Bombyx mori: one gene and its partners. The protein of the gene in region 2 purifies or fractionates together with the protein of the main gene of each other region. This does not show direct contact. Links are inferred from orthologs where the notes say so. Each region holds a gene or a part of one and is shown on either strand. Other genes may lie near its edges.

Region 1 (4,627 bases), on a different chromosome or scaffold from region 2:
GTAAAAATTCGTAGTTTGTGTTTTTAACACAAATATTTGTAGTTTCTCCACATGATTCTACTGCTCGTCTTTAAAATGCTTTTGGGGTGCAATAATATGCGTGTTTCTTTCTCTAAGATCGTCCTGCAACTATTAGGTTATACAATTACCAGGAGGAAACTGTTACTAAGTTTGACGTAAGATAAATAATCTCCGCAATAAATAGTTGATTTAATTATGCCGTAAATAATTTCACTATACCTCATGTTTTTTTATTGCCCTTGTAGGCAGACGGGCATACGGCCCACCTGATGGTGAGTGGTTACCATCACCCATGGACGTAAGCAATACCAGGGGCAAAGCTAACATGCTGCCTACCGTAAAGTACTCTCCACAAGCCTCGTTTGAAGAAAGACATGTGATGGTGCTCGCGAAACACCGTAGAGAGGAGCTTACTCCAAAGCCGGATGGTATGTGGCAAAAAAGATCTCGGGAAGCTCATTGTGGATGAATGCAGTAGTTCTAGGTAGTATGGATGAAATCTACTCCGGGGGCGGGCGGTGCGATGGCCAAAATAAGATGATGGGATCATCTCAAACAATTCCTCAGAACAAAGTGCTCCATGGAACATATGCTACAAAATACAGTGAACCAAAGTCCCACTGCAGAGGTTCCAAAAAAGTTTTCACTGATCTTTTGCACTGAAGTCTTAAAACAGTAGAGCGATTTTAATGATTTTTTTGTTTGTGTGTTGAAGTGGTTCCCTATTCGCAGTTCAACACTAGGTGGTGGTGTACATTAATTGAAAAAACAAAATTGAATATTTTTTAAAATATGTAGTCACTATACTTACTTAATTTAAATTAATTCAATAGGTCATCGCATAGAAAGTTAATGACGTTATCAGTGACATAATAAAAGTGTTGTTGATTCAAAAACTGTTGAACCTTCATAGTACTCCATTCATCTATACGGGGCAAAGGTAAGAAACACTGTCTAGGTATAAAAGAGTATGAGCAATCAGGGTGGTACCATAGTAAGTGGTGTAATCTTAAACATGACAACAAAAGTTATTAATTTTTTTTATTTACCACACATTCTTCCATTTATAATTGCTACATTCATATCATACCACTTGGTATGTGAGTGGTATTTTGGTGGCTTTTCCGTTGTGTTGCTACTTATTCAATTTGTCCCCGATAAGACAGTAGTGCTTAACTGTACCCTCTATACTTGCATACTCCTATTAATGTTACACATTTATTTTGAAAAAGAATCATATAAATTTAAAAATAAAAGTAACACTGATATTTAGTAGCTTTCGTTTGCTTCGTGATTTTGTCAAACATTTAAATTTAAAGGTTCAAAATTAAAATGACCATAAAAATTCTGACTTAAATCTTTTATGGACCACAATTTGAAATCATTATGAACATATAAACTTGTAGGAGACAGGTATTATTTACTTTCTTTCAATTGTCACTACTTTCCAAAATATTAAAAACAAAAGCAAAAACTTTTATCAATTTCATTTACTATGAACAAAATGCATTCTGACATTTCTCAGTATGAAATGGGAGATTTCATAATAGCAATAAAGTTGAAATTTCCATTTTTAAACGCAAATAAAAAAAAATCCAATATATATTTATATTTTTGAACTTGTGTAAAAATAAAACAATCATAGATTATTCTCAATTCTTGTACTGTGTAATGTCAAAACTGGGTTTTACAAGCACTGTGTTATACGAGGGATGCCCATAATAATATATTATTATAATTTTACCTTCTGACATGAACTTTCATAATGGTCTACTCATTAAATACATGACAGTCAGCAAAATTTCAGAAACCCCTATTACCTCAATAAAATAGTGTAGCATTCTCCATTTCTGAATAATCAAAATTAAATATTGTTACTATTTTAAGTTTTGATTTTACTTTTCCATTACAAAGAAAATAAATTACTTTTTGTTAATCCTTCAGTTTCTTTCTGGGACAGAGGTACTAACATTAAGCCTGGAACTGGTGGTTGCATTTCCAGATCTCTCAATGTATTGACTTTGATTTTCAGGTCACTCCTCAATTTGTTTATGTCAATATTTAATTGTTTTTGATCGGCTTCCAGCAGAGTTTTAGTATCTTCAAACTTATGCTTTACGAGTATTGATCCCACCGTGAGCCAATATTTCTTCTGACTTGATTTAGTAAGATCTCTTAACGCTTCTCGATTTTTATTTCTTCGTTTATCTAGCATTATAATTTCATTTTTATCAACAAGAATATCAGATGCAAGTGTTTCTATTTGTTTTAAATACCTCAATAGTTTTTCTTGATTATTTACCATGTTTAGTGCATGTTTAATAACTTTTGTTCGTATTTTTAATTTTTAAACGAAGCCAGCTGATGTCACTTTTTTTTTTTAAGGGATTTTATGACCTGGTAACTGAGACCTTTAAGTCATGTCTTATTTTAATTTATATTCATATTTTTATGAAAAATGATATTATGGAGTGAAATGAGATGAAGACGACTAATTTAAGACATTAATCAACTGGGATGAAATTAAATGAAATGAAATGGGATGAAATATAATCTCAGTAAAATGGTGGTCATTCACTAAGATTTTTTCAGTGGACTTTTTGGAGGATCTCAAGAAGTTACGTCCATTGGCTTTGTTTCATTTTCCCACATTTGTGCACTTTCACAGATATTAAACAGTTAATAAACCACCATTATTACACATTTAAACCCGAAGAAACACTAAATAGAAAAAATAAAACAAATCACACAACTTCACTCCTGAAAAAATTTGGGACGGAACTTGAGAAGAGGGCCAATAAAAAATTTCATATCCTTTTTAATTAATTTAATTTGATATTCTGTAGATATTGTAGCATATTTTAGTTTATAACTGTATATATGTTTAGTTTATAATTGTATATTTTAGTACTTTAGTGTAGATAGTATGGAGTTGGAGGCGGGAACGGATCCCCCGGATCCGAATATTACTGAGGAGACAACTGATACGACTAACTCAAGGTTTAGCCAACCAATATTTTTCTGTGATGAGTTCGACCTTTCCAATGTATCTGAATTTGTCAACGTTAAATCGAAGAAATCCCAAAAAAAGAAACAACTTGTTAATTCTTTTAAACCAAAGATCTCGGACAAACAACTTTCGTTGCGCCCGCTGCAGCAGGCTTTGGCGGGAAATCTTGCAAATAACGTAAATAAGCTTATAGTGCCTCCTCGCCAAATTGTACAGACCTCACCAGAGCCTACTTCAGCGAGTCCTTCTATGACACCATCTGAGACCCCAATGGCTGACTCTGTTTACAGAAAAAAATACACTGAACAGGATCCCGGCCCATATATGGTCCATGTTACTTTAATCTCAGATTCTAATAGTACTACATCACTGCACCCACTTAAATTTGGAAATTTTCTAAAGAAAAGCAATCTTGGTAATATATTACAGGATGGAATTAAACGAGTAGGTCGTAATCGCCTGGCAATAACTTTTAAAACACATAGTGATGCCAATATTTTCATAGCCAACATGTCTATGAATCCATTGTATAATGTAGTGATTCCTACATATAATATATGTAAAATGGGTTTGATAAAGGGTATCCCTCAGGAGTGGACTCATGAGGACATTGTAGACAATCTGCAAATCCCAGAAGGCTATGGACAAATTATCAAATCCCGTAGATTAAACAGGAAGTCTGTCAACTCAGATGGAACTTCATGGATTCCTACTCAAACTGTGGTCTTGACTTTTGACGGACAGTCTCTTCCCTCTAGAGTGTATTCCTTTTTTTCAAGTATTCCAGTTGAACAGTATATTTATCCAACGGTACAATGTTTCAATTGTTGTCGCTTTGGACACACTCGTGTTCAATGCAGGAGCAAACCTAGATGTAATAAATGTGCTGGAGAGCACAGCGGACTGGCTTGTAATACTGAGACTTTTTCTTGTGTTAACTGTAGAGGTGAACATATGGCTACAAACAAATCTTGCCCTGAGTTTAGTAGACAAACAAATATTAAAAAACATATGTCTCAAAACCCCATTTCATACCAAGAAGCCTCTAAATTGTTTCCTATTGTAAAGAAATCATATTCGCAAATAACATCATCTATTCCACTATCTGCCCAAAGTTTAAATGATGTAGATAGTTCAAATTCTGTCTCTTACAAAAAAACTGTTATAAAGAAGCCTAAACAGGCATCTATTTTAAATAAGGGTTATGTCAAATCAGAATATAAATCATTGATCCGCAGCATTTCATTTGATGAGTCTCAAGGTAAAGTAGGTTCCGCTTTGCAATCCAACAAAGAAAAGGATACACAGTTGCCATCTTCTGACACACTAAATAAATTGTTATCCACACTTATAAATATTATTGCTAATTCAGAACTACCAGAACACGTTGCTCTTTCACTTATAAATAATATTTCACTATCAATTTTCAATATTTTTAAATATGGACAGAGTCCTCCAGTGGAACTGTAAAAGCATAGTTCCTAAAAAACATGAAATTATATCTTTAATTAATTCACATAATATTTTTTTACTAGCCATATCAGAAACTTGGTTAGTTCCAGGTTCCAATTTCCGTATGGCCGGTTTTAATATTCT
Region 2 (6,128 bases):
CAAATCTGAGAATAATAACTTTGAAAATGTTTTTTATTAAAAACTCATATTTTTTGTTACCTAAATCAAGCACTTGATAAGTGGAGAATACAACAATAATTTAAATATAAAATAAATTCGTAAAATTTTACTTCAGAAAAATTTATTGTTTGAATTAATTTTTGTTGACTCAGTCGTAGCTTCGTCTAACAATTTATATATTAGATAACTTGGTATTTCTTGATTTCTAGGTCTTTCGAACACTAATATTGCCAATATCTCGAATGAATAAAGTAACTGTGTTTACAAACAAGTGTCTACGCGTCACCTGCTATAGACAATCACTAGACCGAGAGAAAGGCGCTTTCCACCAGTTGTATCCTACTTATTCGACTGCACAATTATTTTGCCTCATTTAGTGACTGTCATAATAGTTTAACAATTAGAAAACCATACATTTCTGAATAGGTACAGGAAATTAATGACTATACTATATGAGTCGTCTATTATCAAAGGTGGCAATCTGTGCATTTGGACAAAAGTTTTTTATTGATATGTCAATACAGATTGATTTGAATATAATCGTCTCCTTCAAAGAATACGGTTCAAAACCTGCATTAAATAAAGGTTAATGGTTAACCTGTTATTTATCTAAGATGTCGTTCCGAAGAGTTTTGTGACTGCCAATGGAATACAAAGTCAATAATTCGTTTTTCTGATTTACCAATCATTGTCCAAAAGTCAGATTGCCGGCTTTGATAATAGTCGACTCATATCTGATATTTTATTTTAATGTAATCTATAAAAATAAAAGATTTTTGTTCAGTTACTGCACTCAAATAATGTACGTATTTAATTAAAAATTAAAGTTTGTGTTTTATTGTAATGTTAATCATATTTTTATTCAATATGATAATAATAATATATTATTAATTCTTAAATAGGTAACGGGTTTTGCATACCGGTGGCGGTTCTGATGTGCTGTATACTTCAGAAGGCGGATATTCCGGCTTCATAGTTATTGTAGCCATCGAGTCTGGCTGGTGTTCTTTTTCCATCACGACCTAATACTGTTTATCAAAATTTATTTATTGCTCGTCTCTGGGTAACGCGCACTGTGTCTGATGTTCGAAGTTGAAGTGCGGGTCTGCGGACAACTTAGGACAAGTGAGTGGTGTCGTCGAGCGTAGGCGCAGAGAACGGCCGTGGTGGGGTCGCCGGTCGCCCGCCCGGTTTTGCATTCTTATACAATGGCTGAAAATACCGCTTAGATCCATAATAAAAAATCCGTATCAGTATAATATTGCTCTATTCATTTCATTCAGATCATTCGAAGCATCAATCAATCAAGGGAAACACACGGCACAACGGTATCTGATATTAAATTATGGGTAATATTCTAACTTATTTTGAAATAATGAAAAGGATAAATAAATATACCCAGATACGTTCCAGATGAACTTATCTGGGTATTTTTATTAACATAATATATATTCATTTGTAGTAATTCTCATTCAACATTCTCGTTTTAGTCTCCTACCTCCGAATTTTTGTGTTGAGTGGAATGAAATCGTTATCTTTCTTTTTATCTTTCTTTTTATTTAGGAGTCTTTGTAGACTATGATTCCCCCGTCCAGCCTGCTTCTACCGTGCACATTCAGGTATATACCGATACATTCGTCAAATCTTTAATAGGTATACGAAGTCATTCATATTATAGTTAGGGCTGCTGAGCGCTGTGAGACATACCCGATCCTGTAGATCGAATGGTAAGCAGTCGACGTTGCCCAAAGCACGTCATTACGGATCCTCCCGATCCATTAACGGTGCTTTTAGGCACCACAAGCACCGTCCTCGTCGAACCCGTCGCTTGCGATGAAGGGCTCGACGAGCGAATTAACCCATAGTCATAGCCCACTGAGTTTCTCGCTGAATGTTCTCAGTGGGACGCATTTCCGATCTGGCGGTAGATTCTGCGAAGCACTGCTCTTACTAGGGTCAGTGTTAGCGTCACTCCGGTTTGAGCCCGGTGAGCTCACCTACTAGTTAAGGTTACGCTGAAATAGCCTCTCAAGGAGGGACTTCGGTTCCCTCTGTATTTTGTACCGTATGTTCCATGGGGAGTGCTCTGAGGAATTGTTCGAGATGATACCGGCATCTCGTTTTTACCATCGCACCGCCCGCCACCGGAGTAGAGTTCATCCATACTACCTGGAGCCACTGCGGTCATCCACAGTGCGTTTCCAGAGGTCTTTTTTACCACGTACCATCCGGCTATGGAATGAGCTCCCCTCCACGGTGTTTCCCGAGCGCTATGACATGTCCTTCTTCAAACGAGGCTTGTGGAGAGTATTAAGCGGTAGGCAGCGGCTTGGCTCTGCCCCTGGCATTGCTGAAGTCCATGGGCGACGGTAACCACTCACCATCAGGTGGGCCGTATGCTCGTCTGCCTACAAGGGCAATAAAAAAAAAAAAAAAAAAAAAAAAATCAAGGCTTAGGTAGGAAAAATAATTTTGTAGAAGTTTTTTTTCCACCAAGCTGATCCAATGTCAATTTTGTTGTTCGAAACTTAGGTAGTCTAATGAGTCATAATGAGCAGGCACCATCTTACTGATAGGTTGTTCCTTTTAAAATCAACCATGCTGTCTCATCTTATGTTGAATTTGGTTACATTTTATTCCATTTAATCATCATCAATCATAAAATCAATAAACATCCAAAATCAATTACTATTCACTCCGTTCGGCCTTCGTTACAAACATGGCTTTATAGGCTAAGTTCCTTTTGCCTATTCAATGAACAAATTACGCTTAAAAAAAGTGAACAATAATGAACAATTTCGATTTGAGGTTAAGCGCAGCCGAAATTTAATGCTTTATGTTTAAATATTGATAGTAAACATGTCAACTACAGCTAAAGGAACTTTTCAGCCAGTAAGTAAATGTGCAATACTTATTTTTGTCAAAACATAACAAGCAGAAGAAATTTACTGTATTAATTAACCATATTGAGACCATTTTAGGTACGAAACATGAACATTCTATTGAATTTCATTTATTTTTCTCCTCGGCATTCTAGGACTCTGATGTACACATTTCATATGAAGATCAACAAAAAATTAACAAGTTTGCTCGTCTCAATGCTAAAGTTGACGATTATAAGGATGAGCTCAAAGTAAAACAAAACGATGTAAAGAACCTAGAAGAAGCAGTTGAGGAACTGAGCCTTGCTGATGATTCTGAAAAAATCCCTTACCTTATTGGTGAAATTTTTATTTGTCAGAATTTGGAAATTACTTTGGTAAGACTATCACATTAATATTCTTTAAAATTTCATTAATATTATATATTTTATTAACTAAAAGTAAAATAGTGGTCATTTGATAAAAGAAAGTTGCAGCAGTTTATCCTAAACTTATTTATAAAATAATGTATGTTCAATCTGATATTAATGCTTCAGTAAAAAGCGAATACCAAGAGAATTATTTAAATATTTTTCAGTGCATATCTCAAAAACAAAAACTCACTCATCTTTTGACAGATTACTTAATGCATTTTGTAGGATCATATACAAGCCTTAAGTTCATAACAAATTTTTTTGACCCTTTTAGTGCTAAGCTTGTTAGATTATAGATTTTTAGAAACATACAATTTTCTCTTTCTAATATATAAAAGTGCCTTATTTGTAGGTTAAGCTTGATTGAAGATTAGTTAAATATTAATCCAACTGAAAATTGAGAACTAAAAAATATCCAACTATCTAATCTCATTTTATATTTAAACTTAACACTTAACTCAATAAATAAAAAAGGGTATATACCCTTAAATAATATTATATATGAGTCGACTATTATCAAAGCCGGCAATCTGACTTTTGGACAATGATTGGTAAATCAGAAAAACGAATTATTGACTTTGTATTCCATTGGCAGTCACAAAACTCTTCGGAACGACATCTTAGATAAATAACAGGTTAACTATTAACCTTTATTTAATGCAGGTTTTGAACCGTATTCTTTGAAGGAGACGATTATATTCAAATCAATCTGTATTGACATATCAATAAAAAACTTTTGTCCAAATGCACAGATTGCCACCTTTGATAATAGACGACTCATATATATTTAAATCTAGTATTATAATTTTATTCCAGAAAAATCTTGAGGAAGCTAAAGCAAAAAAAATACATGAAATTCATGATTTAGAAGAAAAATGTGAGGAACTAAAATCACAAATGAGTGACTTGAAAGCACACTTGTATGGAAAATTTGGTAGCCACATTAACTTGGAAAATGAGGAAGATTGAAACAACATTAATTTTGTTCACAAAAATTGTACTCATATTTTAAGCTTTTAAGTTACATAGGCTTCACATCAAATAATTATTGTTATTCTAAACTTTGTTGTTTTTACACAATAAGAATTTATGTTTCTTAATTCGAAAATTGGCTGACCTACTTCAATGCAGTTTAAAATTACAGTAAAGACTTATTAAGTTCAAAGAAATGGTCCTTAAATATAGAACAAAATATATTATTGTTGTTATCTAGATTTGTGGAATATGTATACTGATTTTTCACTTAAGTTATTTTCCATTACTATAATATACACATCAATTATTTATTATCACGATAACTAAATATGTTTTAATAAATAAATAAAAATATAACAGACATCATTCTATGATGCATTTTCATAAAAGGGAAACAAAGTACATAATAAAAAATGTTATTACTTGAATAGTGGTACATAGCTAACCTTGTGCTTATGTAGTTATGTTGAAGGTGTGAAAATGTTTTGGGAGTTACTCCAAAATTGATATCTATCTTTTTTAACTTTCAATAAATAATTAAACATGAAAGTTGCATTCGTGACTTGTCAACTTATTCAGGTCTTGTATTTTTATTGAAATATATTATACTAATTAAAAGTTTCATTATTACAATAGACAGTAGACGTACATTAGTGAATCCCAGTCATGCTATGCTGTCACTATTAAGCTTTTCTGAGGTGTTTTACACAACAATACCTTATATGATATAGAACTGTTATTTTTTTTTATTCCTAGGTGGGTGGACGAACTCACAGCCCACCTGGTGTTAAGTGGTTACTGGAGCCCATAGACATCTACGACGTAAATGCGCCACCTACCTTGAGATATAAGTTCTAAGGTCTCAAGTATAGTTACAGTAGTACAGTTATAAGTAGTCTTTTTGAAATAACACACCACCTTTTTAGTTAGAAAAGGACAAAGTACACTTTCCCTCTCTTTAAAATCAAGGGCATACCATAATATTTAAGGTATACGCTTTAAGGCTTTAAGTATTAAAAACTGAAAAATTACAACTCTTCAATTACATTTTTGGCTTCTTCAATTTCAATTATATTTACCAAAAAACAAGAATTTTGCCATAAGTGCGATGTATAAAGATTCTAGTTGTGTTCCCTATACGTTACTAAACCGTTGATTAGGTAGTAATAATTTTATGATAATTAAATAATAATAAACCTTAACCTTATTAACTGAACTCATTTGTATTAATGTCATATTTTCATAGAATCTAAAATCGAACCGCTCATCTCACCACTGCATGTAATCGATAAATTATAATTGTATTAAAATTTTGTGTGAGATTAGTATGTGTTACTTGTGATTTATTTTGATGATGCATAATAATATGTGGTTGGAGCTCCAGGAGAGGTTTCTGTCATAGTACCATAAACATAAATAGCGCATGAATAGTTTCAAGAAATATATCTTTTTCACACAATTACTTATAGTCACGGCAAAGCGTGACCAGGATTACTAGCATAAACATAAACCTTAAAATTTATTATCACAAAATTAATTTGATTAATACAATCATACTAATTTATCAAACAAATAAAGCTACTAATCATAATACTAATACAATATAATACAGAAGAAAAACACATTTTATGTGCACCACTATTTTATGTGCAAATATACACCACCGCAAAATACAAAGCTTCATCATTTCCAATATCGACAAAACAAAATGGCATATCTGAAAAAATCTCAGGCAATTTTTGGTGCTTCGAATTCTTTGGTGTGTTTTCCATTAAGTACAATGTCTCGGCAACACATTCGCCTGGCTATTACTATCAATAAACCTAAAAATAATATT
Region 3 (4,984 bases), on a different chromosome or scaffold from region 2:
GACGGAGATATTTACGTATATTCATGTTTCATTTTATGTACGCACTGAAATACTGTTATATTGTTTTCCTGCGAGTTAAAGTGCTGAGTAAGAACGAGATAGATATATGTTTATGTATGTGCCTTCAAAATGGGTGCTATTTATATAAGCAATTGTACGTATAGAACAATATGTCGTGTCCCTACTATATAGGTCTATGCTAATCATACCAAAACGCGGGTTGGAGGTTGAGTCGAGTTGAGTTAAGCTCGTGTAAACGACTGAAGATACGGGTGTAAGTCTAAAATTATGGAGCTGGGCCTCAAGGTGGCGCTCAAGGAAACCCAGGACCTGTTGCTTCACAGGCCTCGAAATCCGCCACCGTCGCCGTGTTGCCCATCTCGTTAACTATGACATCCGCATCGTAGTGGTGGTGCAACTTTAGTACCCCCAAATGGAGGCTCGTGGCAACATTGGTCGTCATTTCGAAATCGGCCCCCGCCTAATAACGACGGCCGGCTTTGTGACGGTAGCTATCATACAACGCAAGATATTTGATAGATACCTGAATCTTGTTTACGATATTTTCAAGACAAGCTTCCATTTAAACAAGTTCCGAACAACAACATTCAGACCGTCAGTCTACCGAGCAATATCATCCGCTCGGTGGAAGATCTTCCTTTCGTCGTTTAAGCCTCCCACAGGCTTCCTTCAAATATCAATGTTCCACAATGTTCTCATGACAATGTACAAGACTCCCCTATGGTTCGCTGCTGAATAGGAGTGAAGACGGAACCTCTGCGAAAAGTGCGTACTGGCCTTGTTGGACTCGTAATTTATAGTTTTTTAATTTGTTAATCTGTTTCACGTGACCGAGTGAAAGGGATGCTCTCGAACTCATCATTAAAAATTAAGAAAATCTGTTAAATATAGTCGACGTGTGTATGATCCCAATTATTTTCGATAGAAAGAAGTTCAAGAAAATTCACACAACGAACAGTACCGTAAAATGGGGCGATTAGGGATTGAGAGGCGAATTGGGAAAAAACCGGGAAAATCTTTCGACAGTCAATATTAGTTTTATATTCGTTGCAAAATCTTCCATTTTTTCTAGTTTAATAGTAGAATGTTGAAAGTTCACAAAACAACTCTGAATATGCATGATAATAGCTGCTAACTTATAAAAAATCGCGTTTCAAATTAACTTCCTGTGGTGGTCATTATTTTGGTGCTAGAAACTTTGCTCTCTTTTATTTATTTGATATTAATAGAAGACGACTGTGATTTATACACGTTATTTAGTGTTTGAGCCATCATATATATTAAAGGTAAGTCTCAGTTGTTATTGGTTTTAATGTATTTGATAAAATAAAAATACATGTAAAAATCTGTTGTTTTTGGGGATATTGGGGACGTCTTAGGTACAAATAACAACGAAAAAGGGGTCAATTGGGATGAGAATACGTGAAATGGAAACGAGCTGAGTATAAATAGGTACAGGTTTGTAGGGTTGTCTATGTAGTTATAACAATATTTTTTAAATTTGTTGGTAAAAATCTTGTTTATTCATGATGTTTTTGTCTAGAACTTTTATTCAAAATTATCAATGTGTTATTTTATTGTTTGGTAAATACTTATATTATCAGTTACGTACTGTTTTCTATTTTTAGATAATGCCTCGCGTGTACGTATTAAAGAGTGCAAAGCCTTAAAAGAGATATGATCCCTTAATATTAAAAACAGCAATAGAAGCCTTTGAAATTGGGAATAAGTCTTTAGTTGAAATAGCTAAGCAATTTAATATAAGTAAGTCGATTTTGCACAGACATCTAACAAGAACAATGAAATGTCAAGGTGGACAAAAATGTCTAAGTAATACATAGTAAAATATTTAATATTTGTTCAGAGTGGGGGTATTCATCTGATTAATCCATGGAATAACCAACACACCTAATCTCTTAACCCAGATAAAAATATCAGCCCCTAAGTACTTACCAAGAACGAAAAAATATAAACCGTTTATAAGAAAGCTTACTCTCCTTTGGGACTACAATAATGTCCACGGTAGCATGGTCTCCGTCAATGTTCATTCGGAGTTGTCCGATTACGCTGAACTAATTTTAAGTGATGAAATAAATTTTTTTTAATTGTATCACAACTTACAGGACAAATCTGTCGCGGATCATTTCTCAAGTAAATATAAATTAATCATAAGTAAATAAATGTAATCAAGTTGATGATCACTTTGTTGGTGCAACTAAATAAATAAATAAATTAAAACCAAGTAGTGGCAGCCCTAGCAAATTTCTCATTTCGTCCCAATTAACCGCAATTTTCGGGTAAATAGGGATTACACCTATTTTTGCTTTTTTTGCTTAAACTGGAATGCTAGTTGCATAGTTTTAAATTGGACAACAAAGATGCCCCCAAGACTCAATCATTTCGATCCTGATATAGCATTATATACATCAACATCTACCTTAAAATTGGTCATAAAGTTGGAATTTGTCCCTAATCGCCCCATTTTACCGGTACGTAGTGACACTTGAAATTTTTTGTGTATTATCTATGGTTAATTTCAAAATCAATGTCAGACAAATGACAAAACCATAGAGAATACACACATAACCCATAGATTATACACTTAATATATTTGAGACATAACCTCAACTAAAATTTTTGAGCAGGTGAAAAAAAACGGAAAAGATTTCTGTATTAAACTGTTTATTTTCTATCAAATCATACCTTGACTGAAACACAATGGCGGAAGAAATACAAAAAAAGTTTCAAAAACAGCTCGAATTATTTCAAGGTGTTCAAAAAGACATAAAGAAAGCGGTCACTCAGAAACAACAATTAGACAGCCAGTTAAATGAAAATAAAGCAGTCAAAGAGGAACTAAAACTCTTAAGAAAAGATTCAGAGGTATACAAACTCATCGGACCCGTATTGGTGAAGCAAGATTTGGAAGAAGCCAGACAAAACGTCTCCAAACGTATGGAGTACATTAGCAAAGAAATCAAAAGAACAGATGATCACATATGTGCTTTAGAAAACAAACAAGAAGCACTGCAAGAAAACTTAAATAAACTTAGAAATGATCTTGGCAAACTAAAACTAAAAGCTTGAAAAATGTGTGAATTAAAAGTAAAATATTTCTATTCTTCTATTATGACTCACTTGTATGTTTAGAGAACTACTATTACAAATAAAAATATTACACATTAATAATTTAATGTATGTTTAGCTATGCAATAATCATGAAAAAACTGCTGTGTGGCATTACACTAAACTTACCTCTTCCTTTTGTTAACTCAATATAAAAATAAAAAATCTTACTGAAAGTAAGTTTTTATTTTACTGCCATTGCAGGCAGATGTTTGTGGCCCTCCTGATGTCACCATCACTCATAGACATCAGATATGCCAGGAGCACAGCCAAACTGCTGCCTATTATTTACTTATTATTTATTTTCAAAACTAAAATATTTTGTTACTTGTACATATTTATTTTTGTGTGTATAAGCTGAAAGTTTGCAAGGTAATTGACGGTATAATGAGTACCATTAGTTTTGAAACCAGATTCATCTTAGAATAATTGTTCGCTTCTATTACCAGTAGTTTTGTATATTAACCTAAAACCATATGACAATCTAAAAAAAATTGGGTAATTTTTTGTTTTTAAATACCTATTACAAATGTTATGTATTGCATTTGTATACAAATGGTCGGCATAATTTAAGCTGGCAGTGGAGAAAGTGCACAAATGTAATTTAATAAACTTATTCTAATTATGTTTCCAATGATTTATTCAATAATTAATACTGCTCATAAAGAATACAGGCATAAAAAAAATTGTGTCTTGAATCTCAACATAGTGCAACTTAATCACGTTCAAGATACTCATTCTCCTGCATTAAGCTACATAAAGCTAAAGGCATTGAAGTTACAATGTGTCACTATAAAAAAAATACACATTTATAAGCTTTTGTACCCAATTTAAGAATTATATTGTTCCTAATGAATCCCAAGAAACTGTAACTTTAGTATTAATAAAGTTTGTAACTTTCTAAAAAAAATACCTTTTCTTTTTATGCAGTCTACATTTCTTGAGTCACTGTTCATTACTGAATTAGGATATCATCCATAGTTCTCTGCGACTAGCCTTTTTGAATGCAGAGAGCTACTTATGGTGAGCTTCTTGTGTTTACCTGATCAACCTGAAGATGCCTGACTTCTTGAAGGAGCTGGAACAGTACTTGTAGATCACTCCAGCCAACAACCAGCGCTGGTTAAAAGCTCAAGCTGTAGAGAACAGCCTATCTACCAACTACAATATCATAAAGTGCTAAATTTAAATCGATACCTGGATTACAGTACCAAGTATTTATCTCTATAACACTCGACAATATTACGAAAACCTTCGTAATAAGGTACCTACAAAACTTGCATACGCCCGGTCATGACGCAAATGTAATGATCCCTCACGCACTAATTTGAAACCCCTTCAAGCACCGTGGTTTTTAAGGAATGTGGTTCTCCATGATGACCTGGAGCTTGACTCAATCAGTAAGTTTAAACAGTCGGCATCAACTCGCCGCTTTGAGAAAACAGTACGAAACAAAAACACTCTTGTTGTGGCCGTCGGAAATTACATACCTGTGGACCGAATGGTAAACAGTCGACGTCGCCCTAAACACGTCATTACGAATCCATTAACGGTGCTTTTAGGTATCTCAAACACCGGTCACCGTCCTCGCCGAACCCGTTGCTCGCGACGAAGGGCTCAACGAGCGAATTAATCCATAGACAAAGCTCACTGAGTTTCTCGCCGGATTTTCTCAGTGGGTCGCATTTCGAATCCGGTGGTATATTCTGCGAAGCACTGCTCTTGTTAGGGCCAGTGTTAGCAACACCTATTTGAGCCCCGAGAGCTCACGCACACGCAGCGTAACGCTGATATAGCCTCTTGAAGGCTATCATCATAGGTAGGGGAAAAAAAGCTA
Region 4 (6,366 bases), on a different chromosome or scaffold from region 2:
ATCCATTAAGTAGTGGAGAAATCAATAATAAATTACAGTTTTGAAGCGAAGCGAGGGCGGGTCCCTAGTAAGTTATAGAAAGAAGAGTTTAGCAATACACAAAGGCGACATCCGAGTCGTCTATTATCAAAGGTGGCAATCTGTGCATTTGGACAAAAAAATGTTATTGATATGTCAATACAGATTGATTTGAATATAATCGTCTCCTTCAAAGAATACGGTTCAAAACCTGCATTAAATAAAGGTTAATAGTTAACCTGTTATTTATCTAAGATGTCGTTCCGAGGAGTTTTGTGACTGCCAATGGAATACAAAGTCAATAATTCGTTTTTCTAATTTACCAATAATTGTCCAAAAGTCAGATTGCCGGCTTTGATAATAGTCGACTCATCTATGGATTGTGTAAGAAAGTTGTAAATTACATTTATACGAGTATGTAACTATCCTTCTAGAATTTGATTATTACTAGATACAACAACAATACAGGGTGTTATTCTTCAGAATTCAATAATTAGATCATTAAAACATTTAAAACAGTATCAGAATATATCTTAAAAAAAGAAGCCACTTTTTGCTGATGTTTGTTTTAGCCGCGTTTTTTTTTTGTTATACTGGATCGTTCAAGTAAAACTTGGAAATATATTTATATATTTATTTTAAACATAAGCACATTTTGTTACATTGAATTAAATTTAAAACTAAGCAATGAGTCTTGTACTTGTAAAACACATAGTTTGAAATGATATAAAGCTTTACAAAATTACAAAACATGAATTAAGAATATTATTAACATTACTTGATGCTATTGAGTAGTACTCTTGAGGAGTATTCTAAACACAAAATATTACCTTAGGTAATTAGTTTCAAAATTTATCCAAAATTAAAGAAAATGTGAGGAAAAGCTTTGATGTGGCTTAATAATATTATCTAGCTTTACATTAGAAAATATCAGTATAAGTCATAGCTGTTGGGATTACGTTAATACATTCAGAAACTTGGCTTTGCTCTGAAATCACTGATGTACAGAAGCAATAGTAACCACTTTGATTAGGACAGGGTGATACGTGGTAACAAAACACAAATGATTCCACTTTTAACACTAAGATGTAATCATTAAAATGTTTTAAAAAGTAATTAAAATACTTTAAATAAACTATAAATTAACAAAGCAGAAAATTTAGGTCAACTCTATACATTAAAAGGACACGAATCTCTCCACAAAATATTTTTTAAATTAAGTCTCAGATATGTTATGAAGAGTTAGCTTTTTTTGCTTGTAGTTCGTTTTGAACTTTCATTTCAACTAATGCATTAACAGCTTCACGGAGTTTCGATTTCTCTGCACCTAACATACTTATTTTCTCCATTTGTTCTGTAACAAATTCTACTCTTCTCTTGAAGTAATCTTTGCCACTTTCAATGTCCTAGAAGCAGAAATAAAACGTAATACAAACATATGTCAGCATCATTAGCCCTAAGGGGTAACCCATGCAGTTAATTTGAAATTATTTGAAACTATATCATGATTCAATCTTCATACCAATATTCTAAAGTACTCAACATTTTCTGAAATGAGGTTTGAAATGAAAACAGCAGCTATACATGATATATTATCCTGCCAAACTTGGAGCTGAATTAAGTGTTAAATTAGGTTTAAATTTATTTTTAACTAGCGCCCCCCCTCGCCTCGCTTCGCTTCGGAAACATTAAATTTTATTATTGATAGCTGAGTCCCGCGATGTTATCCCGTGGTACGACAATAACCGACGCCGCGGGCCGAACCTAATCTAAGAAGTAGCCTAAGTTACTCCTTATATCATCAGCTACCTATCAGTGAAAGTCTGGTCAATATTGGTCCAGCCGTTCCAGAGATTAACCGGAACAAACAGACAGACAGGCAGACAGACAAAAATTGTAAAAAATGTTATTTTGGTGTATGTACTGTATATATTCATATGCATGTAGTAAAAAGCGGTTATTTCAATATTAAAAACAGACACTCCAATTTTATTTATATGTATAGATTTAAGTTACTCACTTTCTTAGCGTAATATCCAGTGCCAATGTCAATAATGACATTCTCAACATCAGCTATTGTGCCAGGAACATACATTGAACTAGTCAATGGAACAAGCATCGGTTTTCCTTTGATATCAGGCGTCATCTTCTCTAGAACATCTCCTGATTCACCAAACTTATTTTTAGCCATTTGTAATGTTTGTATTGAATCATGAAATACTGTCAATTCCTGAAATAAAATTTTATGGATTTTGTGTGAGAGTATTGCCTTTTTTTCGGATGGAGATAGCTGGTTGCAAGGAGGCCACTACTGCTTCACTAAGATAGGCAGGGCAAGCATGGGAGCAGCCAGGAGGAGTCAGATTTACTAACAGCTGCCCAAGTACTCCCAAAGTAGACCTAAAGACTAAAGGGCAGACGTTTTACTAATGCATATTGTAACATAACATCAGTTACTAACATACAGACACATTTTCACTGGTGGTAGGACCTCTTGTGATTCCGCGTGGGTAGGTACCACCACCCTGCCTATTTCTGCCGTGAAGCAGTAATGCGTTTCGGTTTGAAGCTGTTGTAACTATACTTGAGACCTTAGAACATATCTCAAGGTGGGTGGCGCATTTACATCATAAATGTCTATGGGCTCCAGTAACCACTTAACAACAGGTGGGCTGTGAGATCGTCCTCCCACCTAAGCAATAAAAAAAATGTCTCCCTCAATTTAGTCATTATGTTTGATGTTCCATTTCTGGCTAATTATAGCAATAGCTACAATACAATAAAGAAAAGCGGATATGACCTGAAGCTGACTGTTTACGAAATAGTCTTCCAATAAAAGATCAGAACAACAACATGATGACTGCTTGTCTACCAAAAATGAGCACATTCAGTGAAGTCTTCTCTTTAACATATCTTAGATTCATAGCTTTGTGAGTTGGTATTTGAGGTCCGGGTTCATGTCACTAACAAGTACACCTAGATACACAACTCAGACCAGAAAACATATGGAAATGTTTTCATTCCGGCTTTCATGAGGGTCCTTAAAATAGGACATAAGTCCTGTCTCTTAAGGACATTAATAGTTACGACATTTAATAATTATCTGTATAAATTATATTATGTTGAAGAAATAATACTTAATGCTTACTATTTCTAAAATAGCTCTATAGATATTTCCTTTATACATACCTGGTCTAACTGCTGTTTCAATTGAGCTAGTTGAGGCAAAGGTAGTTTGTTTAAATCGATTTGTTGAGTGCCTGAACCGGATGCCATCTTTGTAAATATTAATAAAAGGAAATAATAAAAGAACTTAACACACGTTTCTAGTTATTCTATTTAGTTTTTTGTAGGATCCTAAGACTATTTCTTTTTTCTAACCTCAAAATAGGTAGATTTCGGGTAGGATCCAAAACTTCAGTCAGAATATGTCAATTTGACAGTTTTACTTGTTTGGTCCAAATTGACATGCAAACAAATTCTGCCTATAACACCAAATAAGTGAAAAAAACAAATCGATAAAGAAAACCTCTTAGTAAAATGTTGAGAATTTACAGAAACTAAACTGGATTTATTAGTGTGTATCAATTTGGCTAGTCATATTGGTAGTTTTCTACCAATTTGACCGCTAACGAAAATCGTATTAAAGAGGTTAATAAATTTATAAGTTAACAATTATGTTGCGAGCATTTCGAGAGAGCAATGACTAAGCAAACCTTTTAATCACCATATAAATTAGCAAAAAAATTGGCTCAGACACAAAAAAATCTACCACTAAGCTTGATCATTAACCGTAAACAATAAGATGGCTAAGCGATTTTAAATAAATAAGATATACATGACATAATATAACTTCGCTGTGTTGCTAAAACTCCTTATTGTGTACATCTATTTATTATTTATGACTCCTTTTGCTTGTCCAAAAAACAAATCAAACAAAAAAATTTGGCTCGAAATAGAGATGATGATTCGACTTCAGACCAAAATTTTGAAAAATCGATTCTAGAAAATACCCAAGTGCAACCAAAATGACACAAAAATCAATCAAACAGAAATTAACAACAAATTCATTCAAAAAATTTAATAAATACATGATTTATATACAACAACTTTTTAAATTATTATTATTTAAAATGTAAATTTAAATTTAATAAACATTATATTTAATATATTCATAATCAGTTGAACCATAAATACTTTATTAATGCCTTTTCATCAAATTTCGATTTTCTACTGCTTAAGATGTTTCACTATTCACGATTTAAGTTGTTAACAAATTAATTTACTCAAGTATCGATCTTAGACCACATCCCTAATCAGAGATGTCAGAAACTGAATGAACATGATTAAATAAATTGTAATTTTTGCATCGAGTACACCTACGATTCCGGATCTTGCTGTAATTGTAATTCAATCTTGCTGTAATCCAGTGGCGCTTATATACTGTTTACAAAATTTATTAAAGTAACCTAAACATAGTATACTGAAATGTCGGTCAGTAAATTGGACTCTGTTGAAGATTTTAATAATTTTATAAGGTAAGAATCACCGCTAATAAAAAAGTACTTTTAAAACCGTTTGTGAAAGGATCATTAAAAATAAGCCATAAAAAGAAATTAAATTAAATACACAGTAAATAGGTAAAAATGTTAGATAATAAATTACTATGTAGCAGGATGGTCAACATTTTGCATTCATTGAAATGGAAATATGTATTTAGAATATAAAATTGAGAATATTACTTTCAATTAATCTTTTATCACAACAAGATGATTCTTTAATATCTATCTTGGTATTGGCTGATATCAAAAATTATTTAATTAATTTAGATCACCTGCACTTGGAGTAGTACACTTTTCAGCAGAATGGGCCGAACAATGTAAACAAGTTACAGATGTACTTGAAGAACTCTTAAAACTTCCTGAAATTCAGTCGAGCAAGACACAATGTGCTGTTTGTGATGCCGAGGCACTTTCTGAAGTTTCCTTGCAATATAAGGTAATGCTCTGCTAATATATTGTTAAATAAAAAGTAATAAGTGCTAACCCTAAAAATGTAGTGCATCATAAAGCACAGACAATTAAGTCACCTATTGCAATACCTGTGTATACTTTTTTTATTATTTATTAAAGCCATACACTTATTAGGTTAAGTCGGCTTATATACCTTTATGGATACATCAATTTGTATCTTGATTTTGGTTACTCAACTATGCATTAAAGACTTTATGTCATTCTTCAGATTGAAATAGACTACTTTAGGAAACACTACACTAGACCAGTTAAGCAATCAAAGAGCCTATGTAATTGAATATTGAAATAATTTATAATGAAAACAATCAAAATAGGGAAAGCCTGTTTTAGACAACTTATTAATGATTATGTTTATTTCAGGTAGATTCAGTGCCTACAGTTATATTATTTAAGAATGGAACTCAAGTAGACAGGATTGATGGAGCAGATGCTGCTCAAATTAGCACAAAAATTAAAGCACAGAGTCTTAATAAGAGTCCTGCAGAAATAACCCCTCAGAAACTTGAAGATCGACTAAAAGCTTTAATAAATAAGCATAATATAATGGTATTCATGAAAGGGAACAAGGAAACTCCAAGATGCGGGTTTAGTCGTACTCTCATACAAATTCTGAATGGAACAGGGTATGTATTATTGATGAAATGATCAATACCTATAATTTGATTGCACTATTTTACATGTGTAAGTATAGATGTGACTTTGTCATGTGAAATTTGGCTTGGCCCTCGAGACAAGTTTTGTAAAAACTAAAGAATGGAGAACATTTTGCCTATTTCTACAAAACAAATAGGTATGATTTAAATTGCAAAATGAAAGATTTTTAGTTTTCTATTTTTATTTATTTTGAATGAATATTTATAGTGAATATATACATATAAAAATCACATGCTTTCTTACTCTAATGTAAACAGCAGTCCATCTTCACCAATTTGATTTGATATTTTCATGACACTCTTCATAAGTATGAAATCATTTTTTTTTTATTGCCTAGATGTGTGGACTAGCTCACAGCCCACCTGGTGTTAAGTGGTTACTGGAACCCATAGACATCTACAACGTAAATGCGCCACACACCTTGCAGAAATAGGCGGGGCGGTGGTACCTACCCGTGCGGACTCACAAGAGGTCCTACCACCAGTAATTACGCAAATTATAATTTTGCGGGTTTGATTTTTATTACACGATGTTATTCCTCCACTGTGGAAGTCAATCGTGAACAATTGTTAAGTACGTATTTCATTAGAAAAATTGCTACCCGCCTGCGGGATTCGAACACTGGTGCATCGCTACATACGAATGCATCGGACGTCTTTTA

Evidence for each region.
Region 1: the proteins of probable prefoldin subunit 4 (region 2) and p53 and DNA damage-regulated protein 1 purify together in Homo sapiens (co-immunoprecipitation; 3 studies listed by BioGRID and IntAct, counting the BioPlex papers as one, with this or other methods). This does not show direct contact. The link is inferred for Bombyx mori from reciprocal best matches to the Homo sapiens genes PFDN4 and PDRG1.
Region 3: the proteins of probable prefoldin subunit 4 (region 2) and prefoldin beta subunit purify together in Homo sapiens (affinity purification with mass spectrometry; 6 studies listed by BioGRID and IntAct, counting the BioPlex papers as one, with this or other methods). This does not show direct contact. The link is inferred for Bombyx mori from reciprocal best matches to the Homo sapiens genes PFDN4 and PFDN6.
Region 4: the proteins of probable prefoldin subunit 4 (region 2) and prefoldin subunit 5 purify together in Homo sapiens (affinity purification with mass spectrometry; 5 studies listed by BioGRID and IntAct, counting the BioPlex papers as one, with this or other methods). This does not show direct contact. The link is inferred for Bombyx mori from reciprocal best matches to the Homo sapiens genes PFDN4 and PFDN5.

Annotation. Positions count from the first base shown.
Region 1 is NC_085121.1:8,868,078-8,872,704, forward strand, and holds p53 and DNA damage-regulated protein 1, read right to left. Parts: upstream 2,412-4,627; 5' UTR 2,327-2,411; coding exon 1,928-2,326; 3' UTR 1,668-1,927; downstream 1-1,667. UniProt on the Homo sapiens protein: May play a role in chaperone-mediated protein folding.
Region 2 is NC_085117.1:12,409,623-12,415,750, reverse strand, and holds probable prefoldin subunit 4, read left to right. Parts: upstream 1-2,577; 5' UTR 2,578-2,880; coding exon 2,881-2,913; intron 2,914-3,058; coding exon 3,059-3,280; intron 3,281-4,132; coding exon 4,133-4,285; 3' UTR 4,286-4,909; downstream 4,910-6,128. Other genes in the region: EN protein binding/engrailed nuclear homeoprotein-regulated protein, read right to left, coding at 942-1,037. UniProt on the Homo sapiens protein: Binds specifically to cytosolic chaperonin (c-CPN) and transfers target proteins to it. Binds to nascent polypeptide chain and promotes folding in an environment in which there are many competing pathways for nonnative proteins.
Region 3 is NC_085112.1:4,986,405-4,991,388, forward strand, and holds prefoldin beta subunit, read left to right. Parts: upstream 1-2,608; 5' UTR 2,609-2,739; coding exon 2,740-3,108; 3' UTR 3,109-3,597; downstream 3,598-4,984. UniProt on the Homo sapiens protein: Binds specifically to cytosolic chaperonin (c-CPN) and transfers target proteins to it. Binds to nascent polypeptide chain and promotes folding in an environment in which there are many competing pathways for nonnative proteins.
Region 4 is NC_085112.1:5,060,591-5,066,956, reverse strand, and holds prefoldin subunit 5, read right to left. Parts: upstream 3,451-6,366; 5' UTR 3,295-3,450; coding exon 3,208-3,294; intron 2,249-3,207; coding exon 2,039-2,248; intron 1,425-2,038; coding exon 1,251-1,424; 3' UTR 639-1,250; downstream 1-638. Other genes in the region: glutaredoxin 3, read left to right, coding at 4,507-4,556, 4,848-5,016, 5,412-5,674. UniProt on the Homo sapiens protein: Binds specifically to cytosolic chaperonin (c-CPN) and transfers target proteins to it. Binds to nascent polypeptide chain and promotes folding in an environment in which there are many competing pathways for nonnative proteins.